7 linked regions of the Mus musculus genome follow. The protein of the gene in region 7 purifies or fractionates together with the protein of the main gene of each other region. This does not show direct contact. Links are inferred from orthologs where the notes say so. Each region holds a gene or a part of one and is shown on either strand. Other genes may lie near its edges. The genes, in order: Ss18, Cebpb, Bcl7b, Chd7, Rb1, Bcl7c and Smarca4.

Evidence for each region.
Region 1: the proteins of Smarca4 (region 7) and Ss18 purify together in Homo sapiens (affinity purification with mass spectrometry; 8 studies listed by BioGRID and IntAct, counting the BioPlex papers as one, with this or other methods). This does not show direct contact. The link is inferred for Mus musculus from reciprocal best matches to the Homo sapiens genes SMARCA4 and SS18.
Region 2: the proteins of Smarca4 (region 7) and Cebpb purify together in Homo sapiens (affinity purification with western blotting; 3 studies listed by BioGRID, with this or other methods). This does not show direct contact. The link is inferred for Mus musculus from reciprocal best matches to the Homo sapiens genes SMARCA4 and CEBPB.
Region 3: the proteins of Smarca4 (region 7) and Bcl7b purify together in Homo sapiens (affinity purification with mass spectrometry; 6 studies listed by BioGRID and IntAct, with this or other methods). This does not show direct contact. The link is inferred for Mus musculus from reciprocal best matches to the Homo sapiens genes SMARCA4 and BCL7B.
Region 4: the proteins of Smarca4 (region 7) and Chd7 purify together in Homo sapiens (affinity purification with mass spectrometry; 3 studies listed by BioGRID and IntAct, with this or other methods). This does not show direct contact. The link is inferred for Mus musculus from reciprocal best matches to the Homo sapiens genes SMARCA4 and CHD7.
Region 5: the proteins of Smarca4 (region 7) and Rb1 purify together in Homo sapiens (affinity purification with western blotting; 7 studies listed by BioGRID, with this or other methods). This does not show direct contact. The link is inferred for Mus musculus from reciprocal best matches to the Homo sapiens genes SMARCA4 and RB1.
Region 6: the proteins of Smarca4 (region 7) and Bcl7c purify together in Homo sapiens (affinity purification with mass spectrometry; 6 studies listed by BioGRID and IntAct, counting the BioPlex papers as one, with this or other methods). This does not show direct contact. The link is inferred for Mus musculus from reciprocal best matches to the Homo sapiens genes SMARCA4 and BCL7C.

The regions. Positions count from the first base shown.
Region 1 is NC_000084.6:14,630,548-14,634,527, forward strand, and holds part of Ss18 (protein SSXT), read right to left. Parts: intron 3,130-3,980; coding exon 2,996-3,129; intron 1-2,995. UniProt on the Homo sapiens protein: Appears to function synergistically with RBM14 as a transcriptional coactivator. Isoform 1 and isoform 2 function in nuclear receptor coactivation. Isoform 1 and isoform 2 function in general transcriptional coactivation.
Region 2 is NC_000068.7:167,687,281-167,691,186, forward strand, and holds Cebpb (CCAAT/enhancer-binding protein beta), read left to right. Parts: upstream 1-1,634; 5' UTR 1,635-1,741; coding exon 1,742-2,632; 3' UTR 2,633-3,152; downstream 3,153-3,906. UniProt on the Homo sapiens protein: Important transcription factor regulating the expression of genes involved in immune and inflammatory responses. Also plays a significant role in adipogenesis, as well as in the gluconeogenic pathway, liver regeneration, and hematopoiesis.
Region 3 is NC_000071.6:135,177,952-135,182,412, forward strand, and holds the end of Bcl7b (B-cell CLL/lymphoma 7 protein family member B), read left to right. Parts: intron 1-1,998; coding exon 1,999-2,169; intron 2,170-2,564; coding exon 2,565-2,644; intron 2,645-2,886; coding exon 2,887-2,979; 3' UTR 2,980-3,901; downstream 3,902-4,461. UniProt on the Homo sapiens protein: Positive regulator of apoptosis. Plays a role in the Wnt signaling pathway, negatively regulating the expression of Wnt signaling components CTNNB1 and HMGA1.
Region 4 is NC_000070.6:8,748,996-8,752,975, forward strand, and holds part of Chd7 (chromodomain-helicase-DNA-binding protein 7), read left to right. Parts: intron 1-2,328; 5' UTR 2,329-2,509; coding exon 2,510-3,980. UniProt on the Homo sapiens protein: ATP-dependent chromatin-remodeling factor, slides nucleosomes along DNA; nucleosome sliding requires ATP. Probable transcription regulator. May be involved in the in 45S precursor rRNA production.
Region 5 is NC_000080.6:73,319,222-73,323,201, reverse strand, and holds part of Rb1 (retinoblastoma-associated protein), read left to right. Parts: intron 1-1,058; coding exon 1,059-1,185; intron 1,186-3,980. UniProt on the Homo sapiens protein: Tumor suppressor that is a key regulator of the G1/S transition of the cell cycle. The hypophosphorylated form binds transcription regulators of the E2F family, preventing transcription of E2F-responsive genes.
Region 6 is NC_000073.6:127,705,920-127,710,487, forward strand, and holds the start of Bcl7c (B-cell CLL/lymphoma 7 protein family member C), read right to left. Parts: upstream 2,848-4,568; 5' UTR 2,609-2,847; coding exon 2,517-2,608; intron 2,040-2,516; coding exon 1,961-2,039; intron 1,623-1,960; coding exon 1,514-1,622; intron 1,419-1,513; coding exon 1,257-1,418; intron 1-1,256. UniProt on the Homo sapiens protein: May play an anti-apoptotic role.
Region 7 is NC_000075.6:21,667,999-21,671,978, reverse strand, and holds part of Smarca4 (transcription activator BRG1), read right to left. Parts: intron 3,045-3,980; coding exon 2,931-3,044; intron 2,431-2,930; coding exon 2,323-2,430; intron 1,496-2,322; coding exon 1,409-1,495; intron 1-1,408. UniProt on the Homo sapiens protein: ATPase involved in transcriptional activation and repression of select genes by chromatin remodeling (alteration of DNA-nucleosome topology).

The sequences.
Region 1 (3,980 bases), on a different chromosome or scaffold from region 7:
ACAAAAGAAGGATCCTACAGCAAGCCAGTTGGCTAGACCAAAGGAACTGGGGTGCTCTGAGTTCAACTCAGAGACCCTGCCCCAGTCAGCATACAGACAGATGAAGACACACCACACACATTCTAAATACAACAAGTCAGCCAGTGTCTTGTGTAGGCTAAAGTGTGAAGCAGGATTGTTCAGGAACTTGGCTAACTACCTAAGTGCTCTACCTTGCAGTTCAGGTGGACTATGGTATAAAAGAGGAGGCAGACTACTGTGAGGGGTGTTGGTTCCCTAATTTCTTTCTCAGCCTGTTTATCCTTTGTGTACAGAAAGGCCATTGATTTGTTTGAGTTAATTTTATATCCAGCTACTTCACTGAAACTGTTTATCAGGTTTAGGAGTTCTCTGGTGGAATTTTTAGGGTTATTTATATATACTATCATATCATCTGCAAATAGTGATATTTTGACTTCTTCTTTTCCAATTTGTATCCCCTTGACCTCCTTTTGTTGTCTAATTGCTCTGGCTAGGACTTCAAGTACTATATTGAATAGGGAGGAAGTGGGCAGCCTTGTCTATTCCCTGATTTTAGTGGGATTGCTTCCAGCTTCTCTCCATTTACTTTGATGTTGGCTACTGGTTTGCTGTAGATTGCTCTTATTATGTTTAGGTATGGGCCTTGAATTCACATGATATGTACTCACTGATAAGTGGATATTAGCCCAGAAACTTAGAATACCCAAGATACAATTTGTAAAACACATGAAAGTTAAGAAGAAGGAAGACCAAATTGTGGACACTTCACCCCTTCTTAGAATTGGGAACAAAACACCCATGGAAGGAGTTACAGAGACAAAGTTTGGAGCTGAGACAAAAGGATGGACCATCTAGAGACTGCGGCACCCGGGGATCCATCCCATAATCAGTCACCAAACACAGACACTATTGAATACACCAGTTTTTTGTTTGTTTGTTTGTTTGTTTGTTTGTTTGTTTTTTCAGTTTTTGCTGAAAGAACCCTGATATAGCTGTCTCCTGTGAGGCTATGCCAGTGCCTGGCAAATACAGAAGTGGATGCTCACAGGCATCTATTGGATGGAACCCTATAGGAGGAACAACAATATGAACTAACCAGTACCCCCAGAACTCGTGTCTCTAGCTGCATATGTAGCAGAGGATGGCCTAGTCGGCCATCATTGGGAGGAGAGGCCCTTGGTCTTGCAAAGATTATATGCCCCCGTACAGGGGAATGCCAGGGCCAGGAAGCAGAAGTGGGTAGGTTGGGGAGCAGGGTGTGGGGGAGGGTATAGGGGACTTTCAGGATAGCATTTGAAATATAAATGAAGAAAATACCTAATAAAAAAATTGGAAAAAAAATAAAAGAAGAAGAAGGAGGAGGAGGAGGAGGAGGAGGAGGAGGAGGCAGAGGCAGAGAAGTGCCGAATGACAGAAGCAGGAAGATGGAGACATCCGCTCTAGAAGCCGGAAGCATTCATCTGTCTGTCTTAGCTGCACACCACGCTTGCAAGAACAACGAGTCTCACCTTTTAAAATATATCAAGTTATCTAATCTGGTTTTAATTTTTAAAGCATTTTTCTTAGATTATGCATATCCGTGTGTCTGTGTACGGGTACCATGCACACACGTGATATAGTCAGATCCCCTTGGAAGCAGGAAGCAAAGGTGGCTGTGAGTCACCTGACATACTGCTGGAAACTGACCTTGGGTCTCTGCCAGGAGAACAAGTGCTCTTAACAGCTGAGCCATCTCCCTAGGACCCTCATCAGGTCTTTTAAAGGTAACTTAACTATTCAATAATAATTTTACTTCTTAGACAGACTTTATTTCTGGGCTGGAGAGATGGCTCAGTAGTTAAGAGCACTGGCTGCTGATCCAGAGGACCTGGACTCAATTCCCAGCACCCACACGGCAGCTCACAAGTGTCTGTAACTGCAGTTTCAGGGAACCTAGTGTGACCTTCGGACCTTCCCAGGCACTGTACACAGAGTACAATTTCTGCCCTCTCCCCCACTCTGCTCTGCACAGAAGCAGGCACGCTCATGCACCTCACCCTTCCCGTGTCTGTCTCTTGTCCTCTTGTCCTTACTTAGAGACCAAGTGCCAGTACAAAGGGCTGCAGGCCTGACAGATAGACAGACAGACAGACAGAGCAGGAAACACTGCTTGCAGCTCTAGTGCTAGTTACAGCATTCTCAAATTGTGACATCTTCTACATTAGCCTCAGATCCCTGACTTATAGACTACACACAGTTCCATGTTCCTAACTCCCCCACTTTAGTACCTTACAAGCAGTGAATGTATTAAGATGTCCTCACTGCAAATTCACTGCACAAACCTGAAACATTCCGTGGTCTATAGTCATTCCCAGAGCAAGTCAGAACAACCACGGCGGCATCCCTAAGTGCCTAGGCGCACAGTCCAAGTCTGCGGGGTCTGATTAAAAAGAGAAAAACCCAGATGGATACTACCAGGTTCTAGGGAATCTTATCTTAGGATAAGTAAGACACATTTCAACATCTGAAATCGAGGGTAGAGAAAAAACACTTGGCGATAGAAACACGTGTGAAAGTGTGAGCAGGGAACTTGGAACACAAAGAGCTCTGACAGCAAGTCCAAGTATGCCGGGTGAGCTGCACTGGGGAACAGAGGAAAGCACGGGCCGCGTTCACTAATGAGGGACACTGGAGAAGTACCGATGACAGTGTGTCCGGGGACAATGAGCTGCTGTTGTACTTCAAGCTGTTACAATCAAGAGTGATTGTTATTCAACTGTGCTGGTCTTCTCAAATATCTTAAAGTACTAATTAGAGTGTAGTAGTGGCTAGCAGTCATGAGAAGGGGGCTACATGTGATTCATCATGGTTGAAATTCCAGTTCATGGAAGCTGACAGATCACAGGTTCAAAACAACAACATAGTGAAATCTTGACTCAGAAGTCCACAGAAATGAAGGACAGCGTGGTAACTCCACGGCTGGTAGGCAACTTACCTGGTCGTACCCATAAGGCCTCTGCTGGGGTGGCTGGGGTGGTCCTGGCTGTGTTGGTCTATAGCCCCCATACTGCTGACCTTGACCCTGAGGATAATTAGGATACTGAGGACCTGGACCGCCCTGCGAAGGACCTGCAAGACAACAGCAACAAGCCCAAAGGTAAAGCTAGAAAGAGTCTCCACAATTTCAGCAAGAATTTCAAACAGATGTTACAAAATTCTTATATCTAAACTGAAAGGGCAGTCAGTCACTTTTGCACAGTGAGATCAAAGCTAATGACTATAGTAAAAGCAAAATAGGGGCTGCTGCTTCAGTGAAATGACTGGGACTATGATAAAGCAGGCCCAGGAAGCAATGGCCCACAGTAACCCCTCAATAATAACTAAGTTAAGATCCATAAGTTAGCCAGGATCAGGTCCTGGTTCTATAACCTAGAAGCAGGCCCAAATGACATAATTTCTGACTAAAGTTGTAAAAACAATGACATACTAATTGTGTGATTAAATTTACATTTGAAGTCATCAAAATGGTAGGGCTGTACCACCATCAATAAACTTATATCAACAGAATTTTAAATAAAAAATGAATGACTCAAAAAGCCACAAGCTGTAATGTGAAAAAAAGCTGAGTGAAAAGTTACACTTTGAAGGCTGCAGGTATGGCTCTGTAACTCCAGTTCCAGGGATCCATGCCCACTTCTGACCTTCTGAAACACTGAGCACACACGTGGTACACATACATACAAGCGGGCAAAACACCCACCCCCGTGAAATACAATTAAATTTTAGAAGAGAGTTAACACACTGAGAATCAAGTATTGTTAATAGTGTAATTGTCCCTATGGGAGAGACCGCCTGTGTTAAGCAAGCTTGTCCGCTTTAGAAACTCAACTAACGACAGCCGAGAGCCATTTCTCCAGCGGAAGCTCATGGCTTGGACACTTCAGTGTCTTCCCCAACAGCCACTTAAGACCTACCATAAA
Region 2 (3,906 bases), on a different chromosome or scaffold from region 7:
GACCTTCACATGCAAGTTGTGGTGCACAGTAGATAGATAGATAGACAGACAGACAGACAGACAGATAGATAGACAGATCCCTCCCTGGAGGGGCTGACATGGGGGTGGGCAGCAGGGACAGAAGGATGACAGGCCAGGTGAGATGGGCTTTCAGGTCAGGAGTGTTGGGGGCCAGGGACCCAGGACTGGGCTCCTGGAGCAGGGTTGAGGGAACAGATAGTGTGCTCACTCTCTGCCTTCCTGGAGCCCAGTCTGAGGGGAAACTGAGGGAAAGAATACGTGCGTGCATGGCGACCTACAGGCAGGGAAGAATAGTCACCAGTGTTGGAGAAGGGAGGGCCCGTTAGTGAAGCCCCAACGTCCCACTTTACAGCCAGGCCTGGCTGGGTGGCCCTGGGGATGTCACCACGCCTCTCTGGGCCCTGATCCCTTCCTGGCCCAGAGGCTGCTGGGAAGGCCAGAAAGCCGCAGGCAGGCAGGGCTAGCGTCTTACCCTTTCCCTCCCTGCCCCCCACCCCCAAGGGCACAGGGAGATGTCATTTCTCCAGCTCTTGGGGGCGGAGGTCACCCCAGCTCAGCAGATAACACCGAAGGTTGAGCAACACCCCGCCAGCTTGCCGGGGCCAGGGCTGGGGTCAATGGGTCGGGGGTCAGCCCCTGACAGGTTGGCAGCTCCTGCTTGAGTGGCCCACCTAGGAGTGGCAGAAGGGTGGGCCCCAAGAGTTGCCCTGGGCGTCCTCAAAAGGGTCTCACCGGAGAGAGGCTGGTGATCCCAGCCCATTCAAGTGCACGGGGTGGAGGGGTTGCCTCCCCAGCTTGCAGGGTGACCGCTGGGTCCTTATGGCTGGAGTGGGGTCTACCATGCTCCCACCGCAATCACCTGAGAAGCCTCTGGGCAGGGCTGTGCAGGTCTTAGGAAGGCATCGTACTTCTCGGGGGTCCGTTTGTCTCTGATGACACCACTACTAACAATACCAACACTGTCCACGGAGGGAACTCAGAAGCAAAGTGACTCACCCAGACACAGTGTGGCAGAACCCCCAGCCCTGCCACCTTCATGGAGAGGCGCAGGGAGTGGCGTAGGCAGGTGCGGTAGGCGGGCCATACATAGGGTGGAGGGCTGGGATCCAGGACAGCGAGCATCCCCGGGGTGGGCGTGCACCTGGAGAGTTCTGCTTCCCAGGAGTTGGGGGGGGGGTCCCAGAGGTGTGGGCAGCACCTGGGTGGGAGGACATGCACCCCGTGGAAGGCTGCTTCCAGGGAATTGGGGCCCGGGGACAGCGGGCAGGATCCGAGGGTTGGGGTCGTGTAGCTGGAGGAACGATCTGTTTCCCAAGAGTTGGGGGTCCGGGACAGCGGACCGGAGCCGGGACGAGCCACCGCGTCCTCCAGCAGGGGGCGGGCGGCGGCCGCGCTCCTCCGTGTTCCCGAGGGGCGGGAAGGGGGCGGGCTGGCGTCACCCGCGTCCGTGGCCATCGCGGGGCTGGCGGGACGCCCGGGTCACCGCTCAGCCTCCCGCGCGAGGACCCCCGCCGCGCCCCACTCCCCGCCGCGCCCTCTCGCGCTCCCGTGGCCGGGCAATGACGCGCACCGACCGGGTGGCGGGGCGGCGGGAGGGGCCCCAGCGTGACGCAGCCCGTTGCCAGGCGCCGCCTTATAAACCTCCCGCTCGGCCGCCGCCGCGCCGAGTCCGAGCCGCGCACGGGACCGGGACGCAGCGGAGCCCGCGGGCCCCGCGTTCATGCACCGCCTGCTGGCCTGGGACGCAGCATGCCTCCCGCCGCCGCCCGCCGCCTTTAGACCCATGGAAGTGGCCAACTTCTACTACGAGCCCGACTGCCTGGCCTACGGGGCCAAGGCGGCCCGCGCCGCGCCGCGCGCCCCCGCCGCCGAGCCGGCCATTGGCGAGCACGAGCGCGCCATCGACTTCAGCCCCTACCTGGAGCCGCTCGCGCCCGCCGCGGACTTCGCCGCGCCCGCGCCCGCGCACCACGACTTCCTCTCCGACCTCTTCGCCGACGACTACGGCGCCAAGCCGAGCAAGAAGCCGGCCGACTACGGTTACGTGAGCCTCGGCCGCGCGGGCGCCAAGGCCGCGCCGCCCGCCTGCTTCCCGCCGCCGCCTCCCGCCGCGCTCAAGGCGGAGCCGGGCTTCGAACCCGCGGACTGCAAGCGCGCGGACGACGCGCCCGCCATGGCGGCCGGTTTCCCGTTCGCCCTGCGCGCCTACCTGGGCTACCAGGCGACGCCGAGCGGCAGCAGCGGCAGCCTGTCCACGTCGTCGTCGTCCAGCCCGCCCGGCACGCCGAGCCCCGCCGACGCCAAGGCCGCGCCCGCCGCCTGCTTCGCGGGGCCGCCGGCCGCGCCCGCCAAGGCCAAGGCCAAGAAGACGGTGGACAAGCTGAGCGACGAGTACAAGATGCGGCGCGAGCGCAACAACATCGCGGTGCGCAAGAGCCGCGACAAGGCCAAGATGCGCAACCTGGAGACGCAGCACAAGGTGCTGGAGCTGACGGCGGAGAACGAGCGGCTGCAGAAGAAGGTGGAGCAGCTGTCGCGAGAGCTCAGCACCCTGCGGAACTTGTTCAAGCAGCTGCCCGAGCCGCTGCTGGCCTCGGCGGGCCACTGCTAGCGCGGCGCGGGTGGCGTGGGGGGCGCCGCGGCCACCCTGGGCACCGTGCGCCCTGCCCCGCGCGCTCCGGCCCCGCGCGCGCGCCCGGACCACCGTGCGTGCCCTGCGCGCACCTGCACCTGCACCGAGGGGACACCGCGGGCACACCGCGGGCACCGCGCGCACGCACCTGCACAGCGCACCGGGTTTCGGGACTTGATGCAATCCGGATCAAACGTGGCTGAGCGCGTGTGGACACGGGACTGACGCAACACACGTGTAACTGTCAGCCGGGCCCTGAGTAATCACTTAAAGATGTTCCTGCGGGGTTGTTGATGTTTTTGGTTTTGTTTTTGTTTTTTGTTTTGTTTTGTTTTTTTTTTTGGTCTTATTATTTTTTTTGTATTATATAAAAAAGTTCTATTTCTATGAGAAAAGAGGCGTATGTATATTTTGAGAACCTTTTCCGTTTCGAGCATTAAAGTGAAGACATTTTAATAAACTTTTTTGGAGAATGTTTAAAAGCCTTTTGGGGGCAGTAGTTGGCTTTTGAAAAAAAATTTTTTTTCTTCCCTCCCGACTTTGGATTTATGCGAGATTTTGTTTTTGTGTTTCTGGTGTGTAGGGGGCTGCGGGTTATTTTTGGGTTGTGTGTGGCGGTGGGTGGGGGTGTCGCATCTGGGCTTTTCTCTTCCCATGGCAGATGGGGTGTCAGCCCCTCCCCCCAGGAGAGGGGGCAGAGTGCCAGGTCAGGAATTCAGGGTGACTCAGCACCCACGGGTGCTGGGGGACTTGCTAGAAACCCTGCTTGGGACGGGCCGCCCTCGGCTTGGTTTGAGTGTCAGACTTGTGTTGAGAGGACTAGACATTCTGTAGGAAAGGCTAGTCCAGACAGCTGGGTCAGGGCAGGTGAGTTCTGTGTGTTTGGTGGTGTGGGGGAGACCGCACGCCTGTTTGGTGTCTGTGTCCCTGTGTAGCTGGAAGAGAGATTGGGCCGAGAGGAAGGTGAAGGGAACACTTCCTACTCTGCTTTCCCTTTCTCACTATTTTTTCTGCCCAGAGGGGACTAGGAGCCTCTCTTACTGCGCTCAGAGTGGCTGAGCCAGGACTTGAACGCAGGGCCAACACTCAGATTTGCCGGGGCAGCTCTGCTGCAGCCGGGCCGCATTAGTGAGAGTTGAGGGTGTCCAAGGAGTAGTGGATGTGCTGTGTCCCGCCGTGCCTGGCACGCCAGAACTGTTACATAAGCGTTTGTTCTTGTTATTATTTTTGATGGGAGGCTCCTGGCATTTGAC
Region 3 (4,461 bases), on a different chromosome or scaffold from region 7:
TTTTGAGATAGGATCTCTGTAGTTCCGAAGGCTGACCTTGAACTGTTGTCCTTCTGCCTCAGCTTCCCAGGAAGGTCTGTTACAAGTCTGTGTCGACTGGCCTCAATCAGAACTTTAGTTCTCTCTCTCTCTCTCTCTCTCTCTCTCTCTCTCTCTCTCAATCAGAACTTTAGTTCTCTCTCTCTCTCTCTCTCTCTCTCTCTCTCTCTCACACACACACACACACACACACACACACAAACCAAAAAGCCACTTTCGTTTTTGTGTGGAGGATAGAAGTCCTGGAAAGAGGGAAGACCACAGTGGCCTTACACTGTCTTTTAGGAACCATATTCGAAGCTACCTAGCGTGCAGTTGCCCTTGCTTGCCTCCTTCTTCCCCACCAAGGTCGGTGTCATGGAGTAACAAGAACACAGGGAAAGGCTGTTCAGTGATCAGAAGGCTCCAGGAAACCGGAGGCATTGGTCTGGTCACCAACCCCTCCTTTTTGTTTGTACTTCCTGTGTCTGGCACTGGGATATCTGGGAGAAGGCAGGCAGTGGCAGGGACACTACAGAGTGTGATAGAAGGTGACCAGTATGTGCACAGGGGCCAGTAGAAGCATCAGAGCTCGTGGGATGGCCTTTCCACCTTGGGGAACACTGAGGCTCCTCCAAGCAATTGATTTTGTTGCAAATATATAGGAGCTTTGCAAGGAACCTGGAAAGGGAAGTCATAGCAGCCAGCAGCAGGAAGGTTGGGAAAGATACAGGCCGAGAAACAGTGCTCAGTCAGCTGCTAGCTGCTGAAGCCAGGGAAAAGGTTAAAGAATGGCAGGCAGGGAGGCCCTAAGGAGTGCAGGGACAGAGCACTCTCCACTGTAGGAGCCATGTTCACTTTGTCTGTAATTGTAAGGCCGAGCAAGATTCAAGGCTGTCACATCAGGCTAGGCAGGTCTGAAGGTGACAAGGAGGTCTGAACTGAGGCACCACAGAGGAAAAAGCAAGTGCAAGTGAGCAGACTGTGCCTGCTGGAGGCAATGGGGGAGGGGACTGTGGCTGCTTCAGCTTTTAACTTACTTGGTGACCTTAAGCCTTTAGACAGCCCCAGGTGCTAATCTCTCATCCTTGGGACAGTCCAGTGTCTGAGAGCCTGAGGTGATCTCCTCCAGGCACCACAGCCTCCATCAGGTACTCTGAGGTCCAGACACGTGGTGCTGCCATTCTGTGCCATGGGAAGGCACAGATGGCACCCCTGCCACCCACTGTGCAGCAAGAAGCTACCAGGCCAGAGCTGTAATTGGTCGGCAATAGCAGCATGGTTATATAAGCAGAGCTCCACATTCCTGGGCTAGAAATGTTGCAATCATAGGTTTTGGCTGCATGTTCTATATATTGTCAAGTAGAAAATGCTTGGGTTGGGAATATGGCTCAGTTGGTAGAGCGCTCCGGCAGTACACAGGAAGCCCTGGGCGCCATCCTCAGCACCACACAGAGGCAGGTGTGTGGGTGTATGCCTCCAAGCTCAGCACTCAAGCACTCAAGAGGAGAAGCCAGGAAGCTCAAGTTGATAATGAGTTCGGAGACATGGTGAGCTCTTTTTTTTTTTTTTTTTTTTTGGTTTTTCGAGACAGGGTTTCTCTGTATAACCCTGGCTGTCCTGGAACTCACTTTGTAGACCAGGCTGGCCTCGAACTCAGAAATCCGCCTGCCTCTGCCTCCCGAATGCTGGGATTAAAGGCATGCACCACCATGCCCGGCTCATGGTGAGCTCTTGTCAGGTGTGGTGAGTCACGTCTGTAATCAGGACTTGGGAATCAGAGCCAGGAGGACCAGTGCCAGGTTGTGGCTAGCCTGGTCTATAGAGTGACACCTGTCTCAAAGCAAGTCTGCTTAAACTCTGCAGAGAGTACCCAGGACATGGGAAACCCACATGGGCCTCCTTAGTGTTAGCAGTGTGCAGTGTGTCAGTGTGCCAGCGCCAGCTCTCAGCTCTTGCCTTACTGTGCTTGCTTTCCAGATGAGAACAGCAACCAGAGCTCTGTGTCGGATGTCTATCAACTCAAGGTGGACAGCAGCACCAACTCAAGTCCCAGCCCCCAGCAGAGCGAGTCCCTGAGCCCAGCACACACCTCAGACTTCCGCACTGATGACTCCCAGCCCCCCACATTGGGCCAGGAGATCCTGGAGGGTGAGTCATGGAGGTGCCCCTATGCATTTGTGGCCCTTGTTAGCCTCTTTTGTGTGCTACACAACGGAAGTTGTTTTGGTGTGGATAATGTGTGCTTGCTGTTGGCTGTATCTGTTCTAGATCCTTCCATGTGCTGTTTTATCTGATGTAGCAGCCCTCTCAGAACAGGGGGCCTTAGTAGGAATGGTGAGCTTTAGCTCCCAGTGTTTGCCATGCTGGGATGGTGGCCCTCTGTGATCCACTCACACTTCATTCTTCCCACATGAGGGATAGTGGCTCTTGGCTAGACACATGTGGTTCCTGGCCCTGCATCCTTTTGATATGAATCTCAGGAACTGCCCCCAGGCCAAGGGCAAGGCTAGACTTACCTTGGGCTAAAATTGCTGCTCTTACAGAACCTTCGCTGCCTGCATCTGAAGTTGCAGATGAACCTCCCACACTCACAAAGGAAGAGCCAGTGCCGGTGGAGACACAGGTAAGAGGTTACCAGCCTTCCCTATTTCCAGGGAAGAGAAGGAAAGATCCTAGGAATTGGGTGGGTAACACAGCTGTGCTATGCTAGGCTGTAGAGTCTGCTGGGAAAACAGTCACTGGTTCTAGAATAGGGGCAGGGTTTGGTCACCTAAAAGCAGGCAGAGGGCAGGCTGCAGGCTGCAGTGTGGTGAATGGGCAGGGCTGCTCGGGGTGGCTCATCACACCCTGTCCTGCTACTTCCAGACCACTGAGGAAGAGGAGGACTCTGGTGCTCCGCCCTTGAAGAGATTCTGTGTGGACCAACCTGTAGTACCGCAGACCACGTCGGAAAGCTAGCACCGTCCTGGCCCCTCGCCTCCTGGCCCCTGCCTCTATTTATTGCATTCTGGTCTGGCCGAGCTCTGATGCTGGGGTCCGGGCAAGCACTAGGGTCCAGAGCCTGTGCGTGGGAGCCCTCTGGGCTAGAAGGCTGATGGAGGGCGTGGGGTCGTCGCACCATCTTCTTGTTCCTGACACTTGTGTCTGCTTGCTCTTGAGCAAAGGAGCGCTCACATCTTTTCTGTAGCCCAAGTAGGCCAGAGCATCAGGGTTCATTTCTCACCTCCAGAACCACTGCACGGAGCTGCTGGCGCCGCCACGGGGAGAAAGGTGTGGAAGGCGCCCACCTGAGAGAAGAGTGCCTAGGATTACTTGAATTGAATGGAGACTGTGGAGTATGGACTTTGCCACAGGGCCAGGCCCTGCAGGCTGCTGCTGGGAGAGGGACTGACCGGTAGAGATGTGGAGAACACCGGAGAGAGGCTCTTCCGGGACGGAGGGGCTTTCGCCACCTTTGGGCAGAAGACCCATGGGAGATGCATCCTGTGCCTGAGGCAGACCTGCCTCTGTTGGATGCCCCAGCTGCTCCCAGCCCTGTGCCTGCCAGAACCTTCTGCTGCATCCTCACACTCACTAAGCACACCTGAAGCTTTCTATTCACCCGTCCTTTCATTCCAACGTCCCCACCTCCTCCTGCAGAAAACCCCAGCCATGATTGGAGGTTCTGACCACAGTACCTGCCCCAGTACTCCTTCAGCTCAGACTTTCTAGAAAGTTCCTTTTTCTTTAAAATCTGCATGTTTAATTAAACTTTATGATTTTATTTTTTGTCTGAAAAAAGAAAAGTTTAAGAAAATGGAAATGGGTAACAGCAAGTGAAGACCTATTTTAGCACTGAATAGAGTATTTTTAAAATTAAACTTTGAAATATGTCTTGTTAGTACTTGACAGCTTCTTTCTACAAAGTTATGGGAGCTGAGTTGGGTGGGTGAGTGGTTGTGACAGCATCCTGTCCACTGGATGCCCTTTCAAATGTAAATGCTTTCAAGGCTGCCCGGCCTGGAATGCCAGCCCTCAAGAGCCTGAGGCGGGAGAATCTGGAGGTTTGGACTCGGCTTTCTGAGAAAACCCTGCCTCAGGAAAATAGACAAAGAAAATAGGCTTGAGAAAATGGTGCAGTGGGTAAAGCGTTTTACCTGGGGAGAGTGAGGACGATTTCCAGCCCCACCTAGGTAAGGCCAGATAGAGGACTGCCGTCCATTATCCCTGTGTTCCTATGTGAGGTGGGAGTCAGAAACAGACTTCCTGGGAGCTCAAGGGCCAGCTAACCTGGACTACACAGATGACCAAATGACAGTGGAAGGCAAGGACCAAACTTGAGGTGATCTTTTGACCTCCATATGAACCCTGGTACACGTGCTGACACTCATGTGAACACCCGTCATACGTGAGGATCTAGTGTATGTATGTATGTATGTATGTATGTATGTGCATGCATAA
Region 4 (3,980 bases), on a different chromosome or scaffold from region 7:
ACAGGTTTTTAAGTCCTGCCTGGGCCACACCTGAGGTGGTCACAGCTGCAGTGGGTCACATGCTCACTTGATGCCGTACAATGCTGGCATTTTTCATGCCTCCGGGAGTGGATTCTTAATGGGAATGAATAGGGAACCGGAAGGAGGGAAACAAAGCCAAGCGTCTGGTATAATTACTCTCAGCGAGCCTGGTTTGTCTCTTCTTGTGCCCGTACAACTTCTTTTCCCCTTCTGCTGGGTCCTTAGCTGATAAAAAGCAAGCGTCAAGTCCACTGCTGCTACTTCAAGCAGGCTCTGCAGGGCCCCGGGCTTCGGGGTGTGCCCCAGCAGACGAAGCTGTTGGGAAATGAAGGAAGGTCTTCCAGAACATATAAGTGCTATTACCTTCCTTAAACTGCGTGGTAAGCTGGCTGCATGGCTGGCTTAAGCTGTTATCAATTACATTGTAACATTTATTTCCTTGGAAGTTAAGAGTGAGCCTTGAGCAAATGAAGACTGACTTTTTAAGTTTTTTTAGGTTACGCACAAATTCAGTTTATCAATATTTGTTGCACTTGGCACTGGAATTTCTACTCCCTGCTCTGGACTTTTATTTGTTCTGGGGGGAAAAAAAAACCCAGCATATTTTTAGAGAAACAGCTTTCCTATGTACTTGATTCTCTCCTGTCTGACCTCTGTATTTGGAGAAGGTAGATCAGAAAATATATGGCAGGTAGTGGCAGAGTGAGGCGACCTTTGACGTTGGCTGACAGCTGTCACCTGAAAGCTACAGACCCTCTCAGGTGTCATGTCTGTAGTGCTGACAGTGAGCAGGAATGTTGTTTACATTTCCATAAACAGAGTCTCCTCCGTGTTACGAATACGTTAGGATAGGGCAGGTAGAAGAGAGGGTTATCTGTCTCATGGGTGACTCCTTACAGAGTTGGTTATATGCATATTCTTGTGGCAATCCGCAGTAGAATTCACAACTGAGTCTGTCCAGAGCATCTCTGGAAATTCTCCATCGTGTGCTTCTGTGTGTCGCAAGTGGGTCAGTGCCACCCAGTGCTTAATGTGCTGTGAGAGGAGATCAGCTGGTGACAGTCCAAAGGAGTCTCAGGGTCCAGGCATTTTTCTTATGCGAAATCATTCTTGATTAGTTTGTTGATTCAGTAAGCATTGAACAAAACCACTTTTCTGTTTTGGTTGTTAAAGCAGTCTTCAAATCAAATTGGTTATTTTAATATGACCCCAGATCTATCAGAGTTTATAGCTAAGGCAGAAAGCTGGGATGCTATTCGGTTAGCATAGGAGGTGAAGGGATGTGCCAGCTAGCCCCACTCCCTCCTGCTGTGTCCTGCTTTGTCCTATAAGGTTTTTAAAAGGTCTGGTGGATATTTTTAACTTTTTTTCTGTTAAAGTACCATCCAGTTTTGGCTAGTTTCTGAAGAGGTCTCTGTCTCTACCAACAGGAATAGTCAGTTGTCTACAGCTAGTCTTTGAGTAGTCACTTAGCCCTCACCACAGCCAGTGGTGGGGTAAAATGGAGCCTGTGTCTTGACCCTGCTACCATCTGCCCCACAATCGCCCCACAATTCTGGAACGTGATGGGCCCAGAGCCATGAGTGAAATCGGTCCTCACGGAGAATGAAAGCTTCACTTGTGGTCTCTTTCTGAATCTTGCCTATTCCTGCTATTAAGCATAATGAAATTATGAATTTATTGTGTTTTCAAGCTCGCTTTTCAACCTCATTACGGGTGCTTTCTTGTTAGATGCGTCTGTTGCCGTTGCAGAGTTGTATGTGGGCTGTAAATATCTAATTTGTACAAAATGACTGATTTTGGTATTTGTATAATCCTCCAGTCAATTTAACTAAGTTGGGCTTTTCCCAGTCCTCGGTGCCACGCTCGCCGCTCATCTGATTACCGCTCATGGGAGTGAGGTTAAGGGGTGCTGTTGGGAACCAGAGCTTTAGCCCAGCAGATGGGCTGCCGGCTATATTCATACATCTGCTTGCCTGCTGTGGCAGCTGCTGCTGCTTCACGTTGTGTCCTTTTGTTCTGTTCCATCCAAGAACGGAATGTGAGGAAGTGTAGTGAATGGATTAATTTAAGGTTAGGTTAGTGTTGTGCTGCCTTTCCACGTAACCGATCAGAGTGCTTCTGGTAGAAGCTAATGAGTTTCCCTTAAACTGAACTAGGTTTGTAAAATACAGCTCAGCAAGGGGCCTGGGTTGGCATTGTTGATGGGAACTAAATTCAAATGTGTAAAATACCGGCAGCTTTTATCATTTGTTCCTAATTCTTTGTTTCCTTTTTTCTCTCTTCTCACCCCCCACTCCTTTCCAGGACCTATATCCAGACTTCGCCCGCCCGCCTGACACTGCAGGGTCCGAGAGAATTAAGGAAATCTAGAATGACACGAAGAAGATTAGTTAAGGATTATAGGTTTTGAGGACAAGCACCCCAGAAAAGTGAAGCACAGACAAGCTCCCAGGCTGTGTTCGGAGGAGCCGTGTGTTAGAAGAAGATGGCGGACCCAGGGATGATGAGTCTTTTTGGCGAGGATGGGAGTCTGTTCAGCGAAGGCCTCGAAGGCCTCGGGGAATGTGGCTACCCCGAAAACCCCGTGAACCCCATGGGTCAGCAGATGCCCATAGACCAAGGTTTTCCCTCCTTACAGCCATCCCTCCACCATCCTTCACCTAATCAGAATCAAACCAAGTTGACCCATTTTGATCACTATAGTCAGTATGAACAGAAGATGCATCTGATGGATCAGCCTAACCGAATGATGGGCAGCGCCCCCGGGAACGGATTGGCGTCTCCGCACTCACAGTATCACACCCCTCCCGTCCCCCAGGTGCCCCACGGAGGCGGTGGTGGCGGTCAGATGGGAGTCTATCCCGGCATCCAGAACGAAAGGCACGGGCAATCTTTTGTGGATGGCGGCTCCATGTGGGGCCCCCGGGCCGTTCAGGTACCAGACCAGATACGAGCCCCCTACCAGCAGCAGCAGCCGCAGCCGGCTCCTTCGGGGCCCCCGGCACAGGGCCACCCCCAGCACATGCAGCAGATGGGCAGCTATCTGGCACGTGGGGATTTCTCCATGCAGCAGCACGGCCAGCCACAGCAGAGGATGGGCCAGTTTTCCCAAGGCCAAGAGGGCCTCAGTCAGGGAAGCCCTTTCATTGCCACCTCAGGACCCGGCCACCTGTCGCACATGCCCCAGCAGAGCCCCAGCATGGCCCCTTCCCTGCGCCACCCAGTGCAGCAGCAGTTCCACCATCACCCCGCTGCTCTCCACGGAGAATCCGTTGCCCACAGTCCCAGATTCTCCCCCAACCCTCCTCAACAAGGGGCTGTCAGGCCACAAACCCTTAACTTTAGTTCTCGGAACCAGACAGTCCCCTCCCCTACTGTAAACAACTCAGGGCAGTATTCTCGATATCCTTACAGTAACCTAAATCAGGGATTAGTTAACAGTACAGGGATGAATCAAAATTTAGGCCTTACAAACAGTACTCCAATGAATCAGTCGGTACCAAGATACCCCAATGCCGTGGGATTCCCGTCAAACAGTGGTCAGGGACTCGTGCACCAGCAGCCTATCCACTCCAGTGGCTCACTGAACCAAATGAACACACAAACTATGCACCCTTCACAGCCTCAGGGAACGTACGCCTCTCCACCTCCCATGTCACCCATGAAAGCAATGAGTAACCCAGCAGGCACGCCGCCTCCGCAGGTCAGGCCCGGAAGTGCTGGGATGCCCATGGAAGTTGGCAGTTATCCAAATATGCCCCACCCTCAGCCATCTCACCAGCCCCCTGGTGCCATGGGAATCGGACAGAGGAATATGGGCCCCAGAAACATGCAGCAGCCTCGTTCGTTTATGGGCATGTCCTCGGCACCCAGGGAGCTGACCGGACACATGAGACCAAATGGTTGCCCTGGTGTCGGCCTTGCGGATCCACAAGCAATCCAGGAACGACTGATAC
Region 5 (3,980 bases), on a different chromosome or scaffold from region 7:
GGGCTCTAAGTGATGTTTCTGCACCATTATAATCTTACAGGACTACTGTTGTAAACTGCCTTACTGAGTGACACATCATGTAGTGTATGCCTGTTCTTAGCAAGGATAAGAGGGCTGCCTCAGTCTGAAGCTTAGAAAATAGCTTAGGTATGGATTCAACCCGGTCCGTCTCCACTGAGAATAAGTCTGCTTTGACAGCTGGGGTGTTATTTCTTTTACACTGTCTCTCTCCTAAGTACTACATGTGGAAGAGAAGCTGAGACTAGGAGACTGAAACACTTGCGTTATTGAAATATGCAGACGCTAATTATGCTTGAAGAAGGAGTTGCCCAGCTGGAAAAGTGGTCAGGAGCACAGATGATGGAGTTAAGACTCATGGTTCATACCTGGGTAATTTCCACTTGGTATGCCTCTAGTGACTGCTTTAATTTCCCTAATATGGTAGATGTGTAAAACATGAATGGGAAGACTTACCAAGTATGGCTGATGTGGGGACTCAGGAAAACCATGCATAGGATCATAGTAAAATTTCAAGAATTAAGTTGCTCTTCCTAGTGTTGTTGTTATATGTCAAATTGAAAGGAATTAGCCATTAAAAGCTTACAGTTAAGAAAGGTCAAAGAGATAGGACTGAAATACGTGATGCAATCATTTCTATCAAGTTAATCATTAAGAAATACAGGAAGGTGGAGAGAATGTATGGATTGACCAGGGTGTGGTTTTTTCGTTTTTGCTGTGACAGTTCCGTCTTCCCAGTGTGCTTTAGCTAGTGCACTTGCTGTGTCTCACAATGCTGTCCGGCTGCTCTGGAGTATATGTGCTTCACCATGCTAGCAGCTCTTCTTCACTTTGTGCTAGTCTTATTTGGAAAACCCACAAAAAAGATAAGCATATGTTTAAATGATGTGTAATGGTTCTCAAAGATAAAGTAAGACCTTAAAGCACTCAGAGATGTTCTCTTTCAAAACTGTGCTGGTGTGTGCAAACTATAGAAACAAGTGTTTGCTTAATTAGTTTGATCTGCAAGTGTATCAATTTTGTAACTTTTTAATTTGTAGGCTTGAGTTTGAAGAAATTGAAGAACCCGAATTTATTGCATTATGTCAAAAGTTAAAGGTACCCGATCATGTCAGAGAAAGAGCTTGGCTAACTTGGGAGAAAGTTTCATCCGTGGATGGAATCCTGGTAAGAATGCTTTTAAAGTTAATTTTTTAAAAAGAAAATCTATAAAGTAAAATATATAAAGTTAGTGATAATTTCACTATCCAAGAGTACCCTCTGATAGCACTAGAATGCTTTTCATTTCAATGGTTTCTTAGGTTTTTAATTTTTATTTTACATGAAAAAAATTCTGATGGTGATGGTGATGATGGCAGTGGCTGTGGTGATGATTCTGACGATGATAATGATGATGGTGGTGGTGGTGTGGGAGCTGTGTTCCTTCTGCTTTTAGTGAAGGCCTAGGGATTGAACTCAAGTTGCCAGGCCTGCTGGGCACCAAGTACCCACAACCATTGAACTGGCTTCATTTTAAACTGATATACAAAGTAACGAGTTTCACTGTGACAGTTTTTGTACAGATACACCATTGTTGTTTTCTCTATTCATCTCCTCCCCCACTCTTCTTTCCCATCCATTATCTTCCATTTGCTAGTCCCCTGCCACCTCTAGACGGCTTCTCCTGCATTTGTATCACACCTGTGCCACACACATTTGTGTCACACACTCTTTTCCCCTATGCCTTAAAACTCTCTTCCTCTCATCTCCCTTTCCAACTTTCGTGACCACACACACACACACACACTCACTTAAGTTTTAGAATCTTCATAGGAGAGAACATACTTGTCTTTTTTTAGTCTGACTTATTTTGACCTCCAGTTGCATTCATTTTTGTAAGGATAATGTGATTTCATTTTTATTTGTGGTTGAATAAATTCTATTTTATATATATTGACTGGCTTTCTTCATCTGTGCATGGGTGGATGAACATCTCCACTTGCTCTATCTCTTAGCTATTCTTAGTAGTATGGCAGGAAACATGGATCTCTCTGCTGTCTTGACGTCGAGTCTTTTGGACATACATAAGATAGTGGAATGGCAGTTTTATGTAACCTCACACTGACTTGCATGGTGTTTGCCCTACTCTACCTTACTACCAACAGTATATAAGGCTCTCTTTTCCCACATTTTTGCCAGCTAACATTTGTTGTTTTGATGTTAGCCATGCTGACTTGGGCAGAATGGAATCTCAAAGCAGTTTTAAGTTGCATTTCCCCATTTCAAATTTTTAGTGCTCCTATGTATATCTTTTTCTGAGAACTGTGTTTAGTTGGTTCATTAACCTGTATTTTGAGTGAATGATTTGCTTTAATAATATTTAAAATTTGAGGTTCTTTATCAGTTTCAATACATGCTGGTATTGAAGGTGTGCCCCACCACACTCAGCCCTGTGTTATGTTTAATCACAATCTGTCTCTCTGTCTGACTGTCTGTCTGTTTAATGTGTGTGCATACATGCTCTCATGCACTGCATGTGTCGTGGTCAGAGGGCATCTTTCAGGAGTCAGTTTTTCTGCCGTATGGGTTCTAGAATTGAATACAGGTTATCAGGCTTAACAATTGCCTTTACCCATTAAAGTATCTCACTGGCCTGATATTGGGCAAAAGATATTGATTGAGTTAAACATCTACAGCAGGTAGATGCCCAATTACCTCAGCATTATTTGAAGAGGATTTTTTCCCCCAGTGTCAACAACTAGGTGGCTATAAATGTATAGGTTTAATTCTGAATTCTCTTTGTTGGTCCATGTATTTTTATGCCAATATCATACAGTTTTGTTACTATGGTTTTACAGTATACTTTGAAATCAACTATTCTGACACTTGCTTAGTATTGCTTTTGTTACTCAGAATGTTTTGTCACCTCATATTAGTTTCATTTCTATTGTGATAAAATATCCTGACAAAAAACAACTTACAAGAGAAAGGTTTATTTTAAATCACAATTCCAGGTTATAGTCTATCATAATAGGGAAGTCAAAGAGGCAAGAACTTAAAACAACTAGTCACATCACACCTACAATAAAGAGCAGGCAGGGATAAGTGCATGCATGCCCAGTACTCATAGAATTTTCTCTATGAAAATTTATATAGTTCAGAGGCAAAAACCCTAGAATGGTGTTGCCTACTCTCAGGCTAGGTCTTCCCATTTCAATGAAAAGATTGGGTGGGGTCTTTCCCCAGCAATTAAGGCAGTCAAGGCAGCTTGCCATAGCTGTGTCCAAAGAATTCCTGAAGACTCCCTTCCTAGTAATGTTACACTGTGTCAGGTTGGCTATTCAAACTAACATTGCTAAGGGGCATCATCCTAGTTCTGTAAAGAATGTCACTAGAAATAGGCCTCGCATTGTATTGCTTATAGGTATTTTTGGTAATGTAACTATTTTCACAGTATTAATTCTGCTAACCCAAGAGCATAAGACTTTTTTGTTTGTTTGTTTTTTAATTTTCTAGTATCTTCATCTTCTTAAGGGTTCTTAAATTTTCACTGTAGAGGTCTTTTACTACTTTGGTTATGTTGATTCTTAGGCATTTTCTTTTTTGAAGCTAATATTTTTTGTCTTGTTTGTTTGTTGTTACAAGGTCTTGCTTTGTAATTCTAAATGATCTAGAACTTATTATGTAGACCAAGCAGCCTTGAAGCACAGAGATCCTGCCCTGCTGTAAGTGCTGGGATTAATGGTGTGTAACACCATGCTCTTGAAGCTGTTAGGAATGGGATCTTTTCTTTTCTTGGCAAGTTAGTTATTGGTATGTAGAAAGGTACTTATTTTTGCTTGTTGACTTTATATTCTGCAGTGTTGAAAGTATCTAACACATCTAAGAGTTTTCTACTGGAGTCTTTAAAATACAGGATCAAATACCTTCGGCAAATAGAGATGCTTTCTTCCCCTTCTATTTGCATCCCTTTCATTTCTCGT
Region 6 (4,568 bases), on a different chromosome or scaffold from region 7:
AGGGGGATCCCTAGTTGCCAAGGAAGGCAGACTCAGTCAGGTTGGATCTCGTTAGTGGGGAGTGAGCCAGGAGACAACAGAGGTAGAGCAGAACTTAGGCAGACAGAAATAGATGCTTAGCAACCACGGATCCTAAATCATCTGCAGAATGGAAATAGTGTCAGTCAGACCACGAGAGGCTGCTGTGTGTGGGGGTCAAGGGTGGAGCTGCTCAGTAAGTGCCAGGTAGCAAGTTCATTCATTCACTTACTCATTCATTTCTTACATTTCTGTGGTAGTAGAGATGGGGCTCAGGGCCTTAGGCATGTCAGATAAGCACCTACCACTGGACGCTTCCCCTGCCCTATCCGTTTATATTAGCAAAAGTATTTGGAACAATCTCGGTATGGCCCAGGGGCCATGTCATGGTGTTCTTGACAGGGGAACAATTTTGGCGGCAACAGTTTGTCAAGGCCTCAGTGTGAAGTGAAGGAACCAGAGGCTGCGGGGAGCCGAAGAAGGATGTGAGGCAGGAAAATAGCCGTCTCGAACGTGTGCTTTAGGAGAGCTGCTCTGCAGCCACCGGGGACAGGCGTGGAGGCCAGAGCAGGTACAAGGGAGAAACGAGAAGGCAGAGCCAAAGGCACAGGAGTCAGGCACGCCTGGGAAGTGGTACTGACCAGACAAGGGGTGGACTATTTGAAGACAGAGGAGCTGAAGAAGGCTCAGGCCCAAGGTGTTGCTCACTGGCTCTTAAGTCTGGGCATCTTTCTCTGGATGTTGGTCTCCTCGTGTACAGAGAGGACTCATGATAGAATCATTGGTCCCAAAAGATGACAGTGAAGATTAAATGCGAAAACAAACAACAGAACTTCGGAGTGCTCAGAGGAACGACTCACAGACAAGCGGTTCTGTTAGCTGTTAATCTACTGCTATTAATCCCTATGATTATTGGAATTATTTATTCCCTGAACATCTATTACGCATCCCACATGATCAAGATCGGTATGGCTGACAGGAGATGATAACAGAAAAAGACAATAAGCAAGCAAAGAAATAAATCTGCAAAAAAAAAAAAAAAAAGTCAGCTGGTGATATGCTCCCTACAGATCTAAGAAGCCGGAGGATTGAGGCACAGCTGGAGGTGATCTCTGCCAGGGTCAGGGAAGATTCCCTGAGGGAGGCGGGACCGGGTGAGAGGACATAATATAAGAAACAAGGACAGGATGGTGGGTTCAACTTTGATGAGAGGGCTCCTGAGAGCCACAGGGCCCTACCTCTCTCCTGACCCAATTGTGGGGGCTGAGTATCTTCAGTAATCACTTCTGGGGGTCCAGTTGGTGATCCAGGGCGGCTGGGCTGGGGCGTCCCCCCAGGGCTGGGCTCAGCACCCTTTTGCAATGAACCTTCAGAATGGAAACTCTGGTTGCTGTTCTCATCTGATGAAGCAAAAGCCGCGCGTTAATTAGCCAGAGATCCCCAGGGGATTCCTTCAGTCCCCCCCACCCAACTCCATTCCAGAATCTCTACATACCATTGAGATCCAGTAGGATGAGGGGGCCTCCCCCTCTGGGACTGGTGCCCCTACCACGTCTCTCCCGGCCACGGGATCTCTCTGCCCCGCCTCCTGCCCGCCGCCTCTCCTGGGGGTTAGAGAGGTAAGATCAGAGCTAGTTGTCTAGGGAGCTCTTACAAAGCCCTTCAATACGAATAAGGAAACCTAGGCTCAGAGAAGCGAAAGGTGCTGCATCAGGTTGTGTAGATTGAGTTAGGCCTTGAACTTGGAGAAAGTGTGTGTGTGTGTGTGTGTGTGTGTGTGTGTGTGTGTGTAAGTGCGCTCGCGCCCCCTAATAATCGTTACCATCTGCCTGGGCTCCACACTGGAGTCTCCAAGCCGACTGAAGGTGGAGGCCAAGGCTGGGAGGGAAATTGCTTGAGGCTGCACAGATGCAAGGCCTGTTGGGGGTTGGGGCTTGCTCACCTCCTCCTGGGGATCCACCACAGGCACCCACTTGAAGATTCGAAGGGAAGTGTCTCCCACAGTCACCCAGCGCTTCTCCCTGTGGGAGGTCAGGAGACTGGATCAGGGAGGCCCAAGGATGAGCCCCACAGACTGGAGGTCAGGGAGGTGTGCTAGGGTAGGGACAGCTTCGCTAACACTGGCACAGAAGCAGAAAGAGCCCTCAAACCCCAGGGCAAAGCAGAAACGGATATAACTTGGAGCTGCGGTTTTGCAGACACCTGGGGCACTCAGCAGGGCGCCACCAAGGCCTGGCCAGGGACTCTGGCAATGAAGACCCGGGGCCAAGCTTGCTAGAGTGTCAAAAGCTTCAGGGGGCGGGGCATAGATGAGGGCTCCCGCTCAGGGAAAGCACCACTCCGGACCACGCTTTGTAGACCTCTGGGAATTGCCGGGGAAAGGGGGCGCCCTGTCGATTCAGAGCACAGCTGGTGGGCGGGGGCAGCGGGCCAGGAAAGGGCGGACGCGTTTGGAGGAGGTGGCTTGGCTGTATCCCTGGCCCGGGGGCAGCGCTCACCATCTCCGGACCTTCTCGATGGTCGCCATCACCTTCTTGATGTCATCTTTGGCCCGGCTCCGGGTCTCGGCCCGCACGGTCCGGCCGGCCATGCTGGCGGGGCTGGGGCCGGGACAGAGCCCGTGGCGGGGCGGCCTGTGGTCCGGCGATCTCAGGCTGAGCGCCAGGCCCCAGCGCCGCTCTTTCGGCCTGCCGTCCCTCCGGGAGTTGGCCGCGCCCTCCCTCGCTCCCCAACGCCTCCGCGCGTCCCCGCCTGGCTTCCTAAGACCGCGCCCCGCCCCGGCCCGTCCCCGGAGCGGCCCGGGCGGCGCGGGCTGCTAGAGCCCCGGCCTGGAAGCCCGGCCAGCCCCGCCCCGGCCCGGGCCCGCCCCTCGGGGCGCACGGACGCACAGCGCCCTCTGCCAGCCACGGAGAGGGAGAGCTGGGGGGCAGCTGTGCGGCTGGACGCGCGCGGCCCGAGCGAGGCGGTGCGTTCCGGCCACGTGGGCTCAGGGGTGCGCGAGAGGGACTGTCCTGGTGTGCGTCCGCGGCGGGTGGGCGTCCCTGAAATGCTCTGTGCGCGCGTCTGCCCTCTCCAGGCTGTTTGATTCTACGCTGCCCAACTTAATTTGTTCATTCATTCATTGAACAGTCCCATGAACAGTGCCAAGTACGCGCCAGACGCTGCGAGTGGAGAGCGGGCCTCCTCAGCCAGAATGGCGGGAATGAGAAAGACCATGTAGATGGGGTAGCAGAGCAACTTGGCATTCCTTGAATCAGGTTGTGTAATTGGTAGAGATACTTTGGAAAACTGATAGTCTTCCAGTGAAAAACTTATACCAACCCCGTTTTCCAACACTTTCCACTCCCAAGCTATCAACACTCAACAGAAGAAATGTGTGCTTGCCTAGTTTTTTGTCAGCCTGACATAAACTAGGTCAGCTGGGATGAGGGAACCTTGGTGGAGAAAGGGCCTCAATCAAGATGCCCTATGGGTAAGTCTGTGGGGCCATTTTCTTGATGGTAGTTGATGTGGCAGAGCCCACACCACTGAGGGCAGTGCCACCTCTGAACACTCTAAGAAAGCAGGCTGGACAAGCTTTGGGGAGTAAGTCAGCAAGCAGTATTCCTCCAAGGTCTCTGTTTCAGTCCCTGCCTCCAGGTTCCTGCTTTAAGTTCCTTCCCTGACTTCATAACGGACTATCACTGCAAGCTGAACTACATTCTTCCCTCCACGAGGTGCTTTTGGTCATGGTGTTTATTACATCACTAGAAACCTCACTAGGACAAAATGTGGTGTCTGTATGAACACCAAGATATGAATACTGGAAAGTTTGGGACTCTTTTCACAGTAGCAACAACCTGGAAACAACACAAAGAATGGAATGGAAGGGGCTGGCGAGATGGCTTAGTGGGTAAGAGCACTGACTGCTCTTCCAAAGGTCCTGAGTTCAAATCCCAGCAACCACATGGTGGCTCACAATCACCCATAATGAGATCTGACGGCCTCTTTTGTTGTGTCTGAAGACAGCTATAACAATAAATCTTTATAAAAAAAAAAAAAGAATGGAATGGAAAAGCAATTACAACCTATTTCTACCATGGACACGGACAGAACAGCCAGAATCACCAGAGTCCAGCTATGTGCAACAGTGAAGAGAGATCTTGGATGAAAGAAGTCAGATGTGACAGCATGCATTAGAATAATAATTAGAATAATTAGAATTATATACATACATACCTACATATAATTCTATATATAACAGAAAACAAATACATTTTGGGGGGGGGGTCTGGACAGTGATCACTATTGGGACTACCAAGCAAAAGAAGGGGTTTCTGGGACCCGCTTGTCACACTGGTCTTAAGTCTGTCAAGATGTACATTTAATACTTGTGTAATATTTCTTGTGTCTATTATAGTTCAGCTAAAGGTTTACTTAAAATGGATGCTGTCAAGATGTCTCAGTGAATAAGGCATTTGCCACAAAGCCTGATGACCCAAGCTCAAAAATTGGGAGCCCATGTGATAGAAGAGGGAACCCACTCCTGACAGCTCTCAGACCTCCACACC
Region 7 (3,980 bases):
TCCAGGCAGCTACTGCAGAGGACTGAGAGGTCACACTGGTAGTTATCTGTGGCCTGCAGGGCACAGAGTCCAGATGTGGATGTCCAGCTTGGACTCAGTGCACCAATGCCAACCCTCATGCTCTTCCTGTGAAGGATGGGAAGAAGACTATGTGATATTAGGCACCAACGTCAACACCTCAGACCACCCTGAAATGGAACGCTAAGGACTCAGAGGTCTTGAGTGACCCTGAAACTGTACACTAAGAATACTAACACATGCTTGCTTTTTAGGCAAGAGTCGAGATTCTCCAAAAGCACAGTTACTCATGATGACCGTGGCTGTGGTCACAGACCTGACTGATGTCTGTCCATCAGCACTTCATAACCTGCAGGTAAGAAGCCCTGACAGAGACACGTGTAACCTCAGGAGTGGGAACACTTCCCAAGGGAGGAGTCCCCAAACACGCAGAAAATACCTACAAGGTGACTGTTTTTTAAAGATGTATTTATTATGTATACAGTGTTCTGTCTACATGTGTCTACAGGCCAGATCTCATTAGAGATGGTCGTGAGCCACCATGTGGTTGCTGGAAATTGAACTCAGGACCTCTGGAAGAACAGCCAGTTCTCTTAACCTTTGAGCCATCTCTCCAGCCTAGAGGTGACTCTTGAGCAAATACTTCTAGAGACTTTAATTTTCAGTCCCATGATGGCTTTGCTAAACATCAGCTGAGATGTACACACCCAAAACTAGAACACCTGTTTCCTTGTCACAGGCCTGGGTTACACTGGGCAACTCCCCCCACCCCCCATAAATACCAGAAAAAGGAAAACTTGACAGATACAGGTGTAAAGACAGTGGCTAGTGAGAAGACCTTAAGTCTTTTTTGTTTGTTTGTTTCGACAGGATTTTCCTTTCTCTGTGTAGCCCTGGCTGTCCTACTTTCTCTGTAGACCAGGTTGGCCTTTACTCAAGAGATTCATCTGCTTTTGTCCCCTGAGTGCACCATGCCTGGCTGTCCTGGAACTCACAGACATCTACCTGGGTCTGCCTCCTGAGTGCTGGAACTATGGCCAGCTCCTTAGCCATTCTTAAGAACATCCTAAGGACTGAGGAGACAGATATGCCCTGCTGTACTCATGACAACCTGAGCTGGATAGCTGGCACTTAGAAGCCAGGCTTGCTGACTGATGTGAGTAACCTCAGAGCTGTGTAGAGAAAAACAGATCTGTGGAGCTCATTAGCCATCATGTCTAAAAGTTAGTGAGCTCCAAGTTCAATGAAAGATACCTCTAAAGCATAAGCCGAGGATAATAAAGGCATCAACCTCTGGCCTATTAACACATGTACACACATGGCCACAATCGTCAGGGACAAGCAGCCTAGCTCTGCCACCAAGAGCCAGGACTCTGGGCTGTGGCCTTACCTCGATGTGCTGGAACATGTAGGGGTGGTTGCAGATCTTACGCAGTTGCATAATAGTGTTCATCAGTGTCTTGGTGCCACCTTTGCCCTGCAGAGGCACATGAGATGGTCAAAACGGAATCCTGCCTTTAGGGCAAGATGGAGGTGGGCAAGATTGGGCAGGGTGGTAGAAGAATGGCCCAGAGCAAGCTGGTGGTTATCTTTGTAGCCCTGTTACGGAAGGGAGTTCTCTGAGAAGACCTAAGAGACTAACTGGCACAAGAACTGAATGGAAGCAAACATAGCAAACAGCAAAGGGTAAGCACACTCACAGTACAGCTACACAAAGAAGGGTACAGTGATCTGTACTAGGGAGGGAAGCAAGGAGCGCAATGCTCCAACGCACAGGTAAGAAAGGGGCTGAACAACAGACACACACCTAAGGCCATGGCTAGGATGCTGGGTACGGATTGCAGGGACTAGTAATTCCCTGGGGGACAAGCCCAGGCTTGCTTAGAGGAGGTGTAGAATGACACTCTTGAGTGCTCCCAAGAGAGCAGTGGCTCCCCCTCCCACTCTTTCCAATGTCGGGATGCCCCCAGTAATAGAAAGAGGAAGGGTGCAGAGGCCATGACAGATAAGGCTGCTGGGTAAGTAAAGTTCCATAGGACTATTCCCACTCTGCATCAGTCAGCCCAGGGCTTCCTGCTGTCTCGAGGAAGGCAGGTACTCAAACAAGGGCAACTCCAGAAAGCAGTCTAGTAAGCATCCTCAAAGGATACATTACAGCTGTGGCTGTTTGAATGCCTGAGGGATGGGGCCAAACGAAGTCTCCTGGGCAGAGTACCAATTCAATTCTCAGATCCCATGGTGCTCTTCATCTACCCTCTCCCTTTAGACAATCGTGAAATAGATAAAGAGGAACCTGGAACAAACCTTCTTGTCCTTCTCGGAGCCGTCAGTCAGCAGCACACCTTTGGCCTGCATGTGACGGTACAGCACACGCTGCAGGGCTGACATGTCGCATTTGATGACATACTCTACCTGTGGAGCAAAGAACACTCTCAGGCCATACAAACTTAAACTGGGTTGCCTGTGCCACCAAGTGGACCCTTGTGACCAGCACTCTGATTAGGACATGGGGTATGAGGGAGGAGCCCTCAAAGTAGGGAGATCTGGGAAGAGGAGGAGATTCTGGGTCAAAATTCTGGAAGGCTTTCCACAGCTTGTCAGAAAATAAACGGTGAAGTCAACCAGAGAGGCAAGCCAAGTGTGGGTGCATAGAGCAGAGGGCCCACACCACTGATACCACTCAGTAGATCCAACCTGAGTCCTAGCCTCTGTCTGTGGACAGGAGTTTGGACAAGGACACAGCAAGCATGAGTGTGACAAAGTTCGGTTCTGACCCAGGTCCTGGCTTTGCTGCACAGTGGTGTGAGTCACCACTCCAATTCCATGGAGCGGGTCCAGGGAAGGATCACCTGACTACACTCTCCCTGGGAACAGCCCCACAAATGGCACCTGTGGCTTCTGCCAACACCAACCTTCTCAGGGAGCTGGGCTTCAACTTCCTTCTTGAGCCGCCGCAGCAGGAAGGGCCGCAGAACTTTGTGTAGGCGACGAATAATGAGGATAGTCTCCTCTTCATTCAGGTCCACCTGGGAGCCAGACAGTAAATTATAACAATTCCTCCAAAAGTGGGGGGCAGGGCATAGGAAGGGCAGCTGTGTCATGGACAGCAGCTGTCACTTGGTACCCCTGTGCCCTCTGGGAGAAGAGGAAGACATTCATCCTTGGGAAAATGAAAATCTTCTGCCTTTTGTGTAATTTATGAAATGCCTAATGGCCAGGTACCATGCTTACCTTATACCTGAACACATATGACAATTGGCCGCTGGGTCTCCCTTAGGCAGTACCAATTTGGTGTTTACAACCACAGCATCAGCTGACTAAAGTCAGGCAATTTGGGGCATTATAAGCTTGTCTGATCAATGCCAAAGGCTGCTCTGACACTAGTCCCACACCTTCCTCTCTTGGCCTCAGAGGAGTCATTGCCTAAGAAGCACTGTTATCCAGATACTATTCTTTGGCTTCAAGGCTACATTGTTTAGCATTTAAAGTGTCTTTTGTTTACTTATTTGTTTGTGTCTGAGGGTGGGTATACCCTGAGGAGGTCACAGTTGGCTCAGATTCCACTTTGTGGGTTCTGGGACTCAAACTCAACTCATCAAGGATTGGTGTCAAGTGCTTTTAGTTGCTGAGCTACCTTGTTAGCCAGGGATCCATTTATCTTTATTTGACTGATTGACTGATTGGTTTTTCCATGCAGGTTTCTCTATATGTGTAGCCCTGGCTGGCCTCAAACTCAGAGATCTGCCTACCCCTGTGCCGACAAGCCCAGCTCCAAGAGACCCACTGAAGAGAACACCAGGAAGGAGAGGCAACTAAGATGGCATAGGCCTGAGCTTTTCTGCTGCGCTCTGGTCATCCCTTTTAGAGTTTTAGCTTGTAGGAAGAGAAGCTCTGGAAATGGAGCCTCAGAAGAGCCTCCTTCCTTACATGGATTGAAAAAAAACATCAATGTCCCTTTCACA